Arabidopsis thaliana: one gene and its partner. The protein of the gene in region 2 purifies or fractionates together with the protein of the main gene of each other region. This does not show direct contact. Each region holds a gene or a part of one and is shown on either strand. Other genes may lie near its edges.

What was found.
Region 1: the proteins of NYC1 (region 2) and CAB2 purify together in Arabidopsis thaliana (affinity purification with western blotting, with the first as the bait; one study listed by BioGRID). This does not show direct contact.

Annotation. Positions count from the first base shown.
Region 1 is NC_003070.9:10,474,078-10,478,199, forward strand, and holds CAB2 (chlorophyll A/B-binding protein 2), read right to left. Parts: upstream 1,893-4,122; 5' UTR 1,816-1,892; coding exon 1,012-1,815; 3' UTR 579-1,011; downstream 1-578. Other genes in the region: CAB1 (chlorophyll A/B binding protein 1), read left to right, coding at 3,994-4,122.
Region 2 is NC_003075.7:7,683,452-7,688,648, forward strand, and holds NYC1 (NAD(P)-binding Rossmann-fold superfamily protein), read right to left. Parts: upstream 3,556-5,197; 5' UTR 3,241-3,555; coding exon 2,950-3,240; intron 2,858-2,949; coding exon 2,779-2,857; intron 2,693-2,778; coding exon 2,557-2,692; intron 2,465-2,556; coding exon 2,390-2,464; intron 2,295-2,389; coding exon 2,099-2,294; intron 2,009-2,098; coding exon 1,940-2,008; intron 1,854-1,939; coding exon 1,714-1,853; intron 1,641-1,713; coding exon 1,518-1,640; intron 1,442-1,517; coding exon 1,249-1,441; intron 1,155-1,248; coding exon 966-1,154; 3' UTR 783-965; downstream 1-782. UniProt on the Arabidopsis thaliana protein: Involved in chlorophyll b degradation. Belongs to the chlorophyll catabolic enzymes (CCEs).

The DNA of each region.
Region 1 (4,122 bases), on a different chromosome or scaffold from region 2:
AGAAACTCTTTAAGCTATCATTCGTAGTTTACTGATTTTTTCATCACCCTAAATAATTTCGACAGTAAAAGTTTTTTACAAAACACAATTTTATTTTTACAATCACTAATTGCCCTCACACATGAATTCACCCACTCTTTGGAACGCAATTTCTAAGCTTTGGGGTGAAAATGAATAAACCTAGCTATATTCATGTTCTCCTGTTCTATTCTCTTGTTCTTTCGATACCACACACCAATGACACAGGCGCTAGCTCTTCTATGCTCCAAACATATATGTTATCATGTGTTCACCAATTATAGCTAGTGTGACAAGCGAACCTGGTCCACAGAGGATGTCACGGAAGGCAATCTCTCGCACGACAATGGATTTTAACTAATATGTAAGATATATGATCAGTCCATTCAATGCGTGGATGTGATTTTAATATGGTATCAGAGCAATGTGATATATTGTTATCCAGATATCGTATGAGCCAATGTTACGAGCTTCAGAATCAACCAAACACGGAAGAAACTACTTCATTATCTATTCTCTAATTCTCTCAATCAGAAGAAAAAAAACGATTGCAATTTCTTCTTCAATGCGATCATATTTTGTGAAGAGACGATATACAAGTTAAATCAAGGGAATATAAAAAACTTATATAAAAGACTCTTTCGTGTTGTTCAAGCTAACATCCGAGAATCACATTTTCTCTTGATTTGAAAAGAACATAATCTTTGTACCCATTGCCTTAATATGTTCAATCACGTTGCTCGATTGTAGAAATAGCCTCTACAACGGAGTGAACCCAAGAACTGAAAATCCAATTCAATTATAGTTCTACGAAACATATTTAGAGAACAATGAGTTATTTGATTAATGACAAATCATACAAAGTCTTTGCAAATTTACATCTGAAAGTCTCTACCATCCACCACAAACACAAACCTACTCTTTCTCCTCCTGTCTCTCACTCGAATTCAAAAGATTGAAAGAAAAGTAAATTACAAACAGATAGAACTTGGCTCACTTTCCGGGAACAAAGTTGGTGGCAAAGGCCCAAGCGTTGTTGTTGACTGGATCGGCCAAATGGTCAGCAAGGTTCTCTATCGGTCCCTTACCAGTGACGATGGCTTGAACGAAGAATCCAAACATAGAGAACATAGCCAATCTTCCGTTCTTGAGCTCCTTTACCTTCAACTCAGCGAAGGCCTCTGGGTCGGTAGCCAAACCCAATGGGTCGAAACTGCCACCGGGGTAAAGCAAGTCCTCGGCCTCTCCCAATGGCCCATTTCCTGCGACTCTGTAACCTTCAACGGCTCCCATCAAAATAACTTGTGTGGCCCAAATGGCCAAAATGCTCTGAGCGTGAACCAAGCTAGGGTTTCCCAAGTAATCGAGCCCTCCATCGCTGAAGATCTGTGAACCAGCCTTGAACCAAACTGCCTCTCCAAACTTGACTCCGTTCCTGGCCAAAAGCTCAGGGAAGACGCAGCCTAGGGCTCCGAGCATGGCCCACCTGCTGTGGATAACTTCTAGCTCACGGTTCCTTGCGAATGTCTCGGGGTCAGCGGATAGACCAGCTGTGTCCCATCCGTAGTCTCCAGGGAACTCTCCGGTAAGGTAGCTGGGTGACTCGCCAGAGAATGGACCCAAGTACTTGACTCGGTCGGATCCGTACCATGGGCTGCCTGATGGACCCTTTGGCTTGGCAACAGTCTTCCTCATTGTCACACGGCCGCTTCCAAGGACTTCTGATGCCGCAGGGGAAAGGTTCACAGCCTTTCCGGCGAAAGCAGGGGAGGAGAGAGCCATTGTTGAGGCGGCCATTGAAACTTTTTTGTGTTTTTTTTTTTTTTATGACTAACTTGTGAGTGAGAGTGATTAAAACTGGTTCGATAGTGTTGGATTATATAGGGATATTGTAACGTTTGTTATATCTGAAGTAATCTTTATCTGTTCATTCATTGGATTTTAAGATTTTTGTTTTATCGTTTAGTAGTCTTACGTGGCAATCTCTAGTCCACCAGCATTTGTTTTGATTTTTTCATTGCAGCCAAGCGTTTTGTGACCACAAGTTATGAGCCACTGAATACTTCAACGGTTACACTTACTTACACCCTCGTGACAAGAATGATTTTTGCTACAACCCAATAACTAAAACTTAAAGTATAACATTTTGAAAATATAGATTCTGATGATCGAAACATTAATATAAAGTAACATTATAAAAAGCATTTACCCACACATAAATATCAATATTTTCAATGGTAATTAGTTCATCATCACTACCAGTTTAATTTCAATTATGAATCGATTTCATCGTCACTTTATCCAATAACCAAAATAATCTCATGAATTATGTGATATCACCTTAAAACTTTGACGTTTTACTCTTTATCGAAGAAACACAACGATTAATGAAACACTGTTTTAACTTATCGACCATTTCTAAGAACATGAAAGAACTATATTAATTCATATGGCATGTTCATCATCATGGGTTTAGACTTTAGAGAACATATAGCTACTTTTTTTCTTATCATGATTCAAGTTATCTTTATTGTAAACTTCAACAACCTTTTGAACAAACTTATTTATTCGCTTTTTCCGAATTCATCAACAAATTACTCCTCAATCACACTCCTATAGAAAACGGTTTAAGCTATCATTACATGTCTAGTTGGTTTTACTCAGCCCTAGAAGTGTTGTTTATTGCATCACTTTCCACGAAGCACAATTTTTCTTTTTTACAATCACTAGACCTCACAGGCTCACACATATGCTTTAGAGCACATTCTAAACTTTGAACTATAAAAGCTGTTAACACTAATACACTATGCGTTCTTTTTTGCTCCAAACACTTTTGATCCATTATTAGGAGACACTCCACTTAGAAAGATTTTCTAATCCTTTGGTCAACTAGGAAGTTCAAGGTTTTTCTAAACAGAAATTCATTTCACAAGTAATTTAATTTATAAGGAAATGAATAGAGAAATCAAATCATTGAAGAACTACAAAATATAGATTCAAGGTCAGGTCTAAGAAAATATTCCTGAAGCTCAAAAAAGAGTTTTCCTCTCACATTATAGAATTGGCCTTTACTTCAACATTTTCCCACCTATTCCACATTTGGTCAGAACATTTTTAATTACTTGTGGATCAATTTCCGGTTGAAATGGGTTTGGTGAATATCCGGTTCAGTTATATGGTGGCCGTTGGAATTGGCTTATTAGTTGTGGCCGTTGTTGAAGCCGTTGGTATTGGTAAGGGAGAAGCAGACTTGTGGCTATGAGTCTATGACCATGACTCGTGATTATGGAGCTGTCTTATGACCCTGACCATCACCTTGATCTGGTGGATTCCAATGTTTTCTTCTTCTTCTAATAAAATATTATGGTCAATACAGGTGCTAATTAAGATGGTAATAATTTCTTATGTTTCTGTGGTAAAGTTTGATTCAATTCCGTAGTTTTAGATAATCTTATTTCCATACATAAATTTTATAGTTTTATCTACTTTGTTCTTATGTTTTATCTCTAGCCAAGAGTTATTATTATTATCAGAAGAAGAAAAAAAAAAGAAGCATATATACAAAAGGTTTAATAAAATGTATTATACAAGGCAATTATCCAAATTTTTTTTGTTTTGGTTTACATTGATGCTCTCAGGATTTCATAAGGATAGAGAGATCTATTCGTATACGTGTCACGTCATGAGTGGGTGTTTCGCCAATCCATGAAACGCACCTAGATATCTAAAACACATATCAATTGCGAATCTGCGAAGTGCGAGCCATTAACCACGTAAGCAAACAAACAATCTAAACCCCAAAAAAAATCTATGACTAGCCAATAGCAACCTCAGAGATTGATATTTCAAGATAAGACAGTATTTAGATTTCTGTATTATATATAGCGAAAATCGCATCAATACCAAACCACCCATTTCTTGGCTTACAACAACAAATCTTAAACGTTTTACTTTGTGCTGCACTACTCAACCTCAATGGCCGCCTCAACAATGGCTCTCTCCTCCCCTGCCTTCGCCGGTAAGGCCGTCAAGCTTTCCCCCGCGGCATCTGAAGTCCTTGGAAGCGGCCGTGTGACAATGAGGAAGACTGTTGCCAAGCCAAAG
Region 2 (5,197 bases):
AATCCAGTTTTTAACTTAAATCCAAACTCGGCTACATGAACGATTTCTAATTTGATAGTAAGCCCTGGTAAAGCCCAAACTATGATAAGCCCAACAACGTCCGTAGCGGTGTGTGATGTTGAGCACCGTCAGATGTAACAGTGGACACGTGTCAGAATCTTAACGAGTGAGAAAACCCTAGCGCTCCATATTTATTTTCTGTATAAAAACCCAAAGAGAGAGAGAAGCTTATCATCTCTCAAGCTACAAATTGCTCTCGTAATCAAATCCTTATACTTTCTCCAACCCTTACTTTTGTTATTGTCGTATTACAAAATTGTTTTTTTTTTTCTTCCGGACAGTGACGATTGATATTTAAGGTCTCGTTCGTCGTAAAAACGGCCGTAAAAAGCCTATTTGCCGACCATTCTGTTATATCACCACCCATATTCTGAGTCCTACTTTTTGACTTTTGTTTTTCAATCTTTCTTCTAATCGATTTTTTTGGCCAATGATTTAATCAAAAAAATAGACAAGCATATGTCTGAATTAATCCTTGTTGATAAAATCTAATCTTCTCTATGAGGCCAAACAATCTTTGGTTTGTTTTTGTTTATTTGGAAAAAAGGGTCAAGTGATGATTAATAATGCATAGTTCAAATGATCTCCATGATTACTATTCAGTAGCACAGTCTTTCGCTCCTATCTGATGGCCCTCCACTTTTTTTATTGATGCAATGTTATTGGAGCTGTGTTTTTTTAACTCCGCTTAATGGGCCTTTAAAGGCCCAACTAGTGAAAACTAGAAAATACTACAATCTGATAAAAGTTTATTACAATCTATTTTTTCATTGTTTTCAACAACGACACATTCTACAACTATAAGAAGTGTTTACATGAACAAATCGGTTCTGTTATATATATGTTTTTTATACATAACATGTACGTTTACAATTTTCTTAAAACACATCCGAGGAAGATGTTTGTTATGTGCCTGGAAAAGAGCTAGGTGTTGTGCTTTGTAAGATGATGAAAGCGCAAACAACAGAAAGAGAGAAAACAGAGACCCAAGTATTCTCTGTATACATCTCCATCGCGTCTGTTAACGACAACCTCGTCCTGTTCTCTGCCCAGTTCCTTAGTCTATCTGCTTCTGCTGCATATAACGCCCGTCCCTGCAAACACGTACACATCTTTGCGTCAGCTCAGGCTTAACCAAGTGAAGGATTTGTCAAAAAACTTGAACTAGAACTCAAGTGTAACACTTACTTGGTCATCAAACCATCGGCCTCTCCTTAGCCAGGAAGTGACAATAGCTAACAATATCCGAGGAGGAGTTAGGTAATTGACGGCTTTTCCCGAACCTTTCACAACTCGCATTCGTGGTACCAAAGTTCTAGCTACTGTCTCAGGAAGCTCACAGATTATGTTAAACATCTGCTTGTTTTTAATGCTCGAACCACTGCCAAATAAATGGTTGCTTCAATAAAACTCCGGAGCATTCTGTTCTAGGCCTTAGTGACAAAGTGTATGCATACCTGAGAAGAAGTTCTGTCAGAACCATGCCAGGGGATGCAGTGTGAAGGCCAACGTTTGTTTTTTGGCTTTCTTTCACTATAGACCCATGAAACTGCCTAAGTCCACATTTTGTTGAACCATATCTGCGAAAGCTCACAGACTCAGAAATGTGTTCTAATTCATTAGAGACTAGTAACGAATGATTTGAGTTCTTACACGGCAGTGAGAGGAGTACTTGAACCTCCAGAGCCAGCACCATCCATGTTAAAGATGTGTCCACCACTGTGCTGTCTGCTCATCACATCCATAGCCCCTCGTGTACATAGAATTGATCCAATCAAATTTGTGGAGACAATCTACAAAATAATAGTTACAATTAGACTAATGAACTTCACCATAAGCTCAAGCTGAAATTAAGCTTTAGGTTCAAAAAGGATTTTACCTGTGTGATATCTTCTTCCGTGAACTCGAGTAGCGGTCTAAAACCTTTGTTAGTACCAGCATTGTTTATCTATCCAAATGAATATAGACAGTGAGCAAACATATGACTAAAGATACAAAAAAAGTTACAAACTGTACAAAAAGAAATATGTTTCTTTACCCATATGTTGATGGAACCAAGCTCTTTTACAGCGAAATTCGACAGCTTCTCAACGTCTTCGGGTTTGCAAACATCACAGGCAATACCAACTACCTTAGCATCACTCAGTTTCTTTCTAGCTGACTCGCTAGCGTTACTCATAATCTCTTTGAGATTTTGCTCTAGCTCTTTGACAGTCATATCAACAGATTCAGAACTGATTTCACAAACAAAAACCAAAAAACAAATCATATTAAGACTTCATTGCTTGATAAAAACTAATCCATAATTCCATATATACAATTTATCAACCTGCGAGATGTGACAATGACTCTGTCTCCAGAGAGAAGAAACTCTCTAGCAAGAGCTTTCCCTAGTCCCCTAGTGCTAAAACACAGCATAAAAACATACATCAGCATCAAACCAAAACACAAAGAAACAAAAATCAAAAAATGCAAAAACAAAAGTAAAGAAGGTACCTTCCGGTTATAACAACATTCCGTGGACCGGCTCGATAATGATCTTCCAAAACCATGTTAGCACCAGTCATGGTTCCAATGATAATTCCACCAAGCCAACTATACCAAACCAATGAGTTCATCGAACTATCTCCACCTTTCATCACAAATACATACACTCAAAATCTCAGTCAAACAAAATTACCAATAAAAAAACTCTTCTACAATAGTTTTTGCACTAACCTGATAATTGAAACCCAATCAAAAGAATAGCTCCAGTACTTGTCATCGTCACAATGTATCTCGCAATTTGAACAGCAACCTACAAAATCACAAACACATAAAAATTAAGCTAATCAAAGCAAAAAGATTGAAAATTTCATTAAGAAAAAAAGAGGAAACTTTAAGACTAACCGAAGAGAAAACCATCTCCAAGTTTTCAACTTTCTGATTATACTCATCTTTAGACAAGAACCCTAATTTACTAAACCCTAAAAACCCAGATTTCAAAGAATCCCACGACCCATTTCCCTTAAATTTCTCAACTTTTCTCTTTCTTTCAACTTTTTTCTCACACCGATGCACATAAACCCTATTACTACGTTCTCTACAAGTCAATCTTGACCCGACCCGTATCGGATCTCTGAAGAAGAGACGGTGCTCCAAGACTTGTGGGTACACTTGAATCTTCGTTAAAGTAGTCATAGCTATGGAAGAAGAGTGAGATAATGATAAGCTTTGAAACTCATACAAAAAGATAACTTAGAAAACAAGATAAACGAAGGAGCTTTTTTAGGGACCCAAAAGATAGATTGTTAGATATTTTTCAGCTTCGGATTCGTCGAAGACGTTAAATAGAGTGATCGGAGGAAGAAGAAGGAGATTAGGACGAAGAAAGAAAGAGGTGAGGGAAAGAAAGAAGGAAGAGAAGTGTGATGGCCACACGTTACAGCAACCTCATCTCGTTAGCCTAACATTGACACGTGTCATTTTGTGTTTCTTTTGTCCCTTCGCATGTTTTCAAGATATTTTTTTCTCTCTTTGGGAGCTACTTTAGATTTTGGTTCACATGAACAAAATTTTGATTCAGTTTTGCTTCTAGAAAGCCAAAATTTGATTTCAAATTACATTTTACTCAGACTTCGTCATTACTTATGTACCTGAGTAAATTATTGTAGTATCCATTGTCACATTTGAGTAGATGATAGAGATTATTGTCAAACTACCACTTACTTATTTATATTATTTTAGAACAATAAAAAATTATAAATTAAAAATTTAATATCAAACAAAGAAAAGTTGATAATGTTTGTGTTTATGATAATTTTCTCCTTTGTGTAAACTTTAAGCTTTTTGTCTCTACCAACTCAATAAATTTATAGTCCCTGTACAAATTTTAAAAATTAATCTTTTTCTAAACTATAAAACAAAAATTTGGACCCTTTTTATGCTAATTTTTTAAAAACACATTAAAATTGACATTTTCATACTAAAAAAAAAAAAATTGTAGGTCTTTTCCATACTAATCAGATCCTTAAATTTACCAAAAAAAATTTGGATCTAGAACAAATGCGCCTCATGCACCTCCAAAGAGCCGGTCTGCTTTACGTGAGACCCAAATATCAGTAAACCTATTAAAAGTCCAACTTCCCTAATAACGAAAACCTAAACGTGAAAGTATGTGGACGTGTACATATGTATATATGCGTTTATATATTTTTCCTCAGTAGCTGAATTTTATGTGTTTTATATGCTCGAAAACATGGAAATAAACATGATTAGATCATGAAGATCATTGAACCCCTACGATCCCTTGAATGTCCAACTTTTGTCTCTTATTGATCACTTACTATTTACTTGCTTCACTTACTTACAACTGTGACACAATAACAACCCTTTCCCCCTCTTTTATTGATTTGTCCTAGTTTTACTCTCTTCTGACAGACTTGTTTGAATTACTTCTCTTCCAATGGAATTCGATCCATAAATACTATGTTGGATACAAACCAAAGGTCCCACATCGAAAGTTTAGAAAAAGAGTTTCTAATATATAAGCCAAGTCCAACTCCAACTAGTATGAGGCCTTTTGGGAAGGAACCCAATAACAAATCTTTGTGGGCTTGAGCATATAAGCCCAAAGAGGACAATATCATACTAAATGAGAGTTGGAATGGGCTTTGAAAGCCCATTAAATGGTATCAGAGCCAGGTTGAAACACTGGACCTAGGGCTTGGGCTATGATCGATGTGGGAAAATCTCTCAAACATGACACGATAAGAAGGTGCCTCAAGAAGGAGGTCCAAGTTCGTGGTCTTTGGTTTGAAGGGGAGATTGTTGGGTACAAACCAAAGGTCCCACATCGAAAGTTTAGAAAAAGAGTTTCTAATATATAAGCCAAGTCCAACTCCAACTAGTATGAGACCTTTTGGGAAGGAACCCAATAACAAATCCTTGCGGGCTTGAGCATATAAGCCCAAAGAGGACAATATCATACTAAATGAGAGTTGGAATGGGTTTAGAAAGCCCATTATACTACAGACGATTAACTGTGCACTTCCAGTAGTCGTGTTGTCAAAATTTGACTAAAGCAAAATAAAACATGCATGTTGGTGTGTCCTTACCAGATATGTTACACTCCTATTTCCCTTTAACCATACATCTA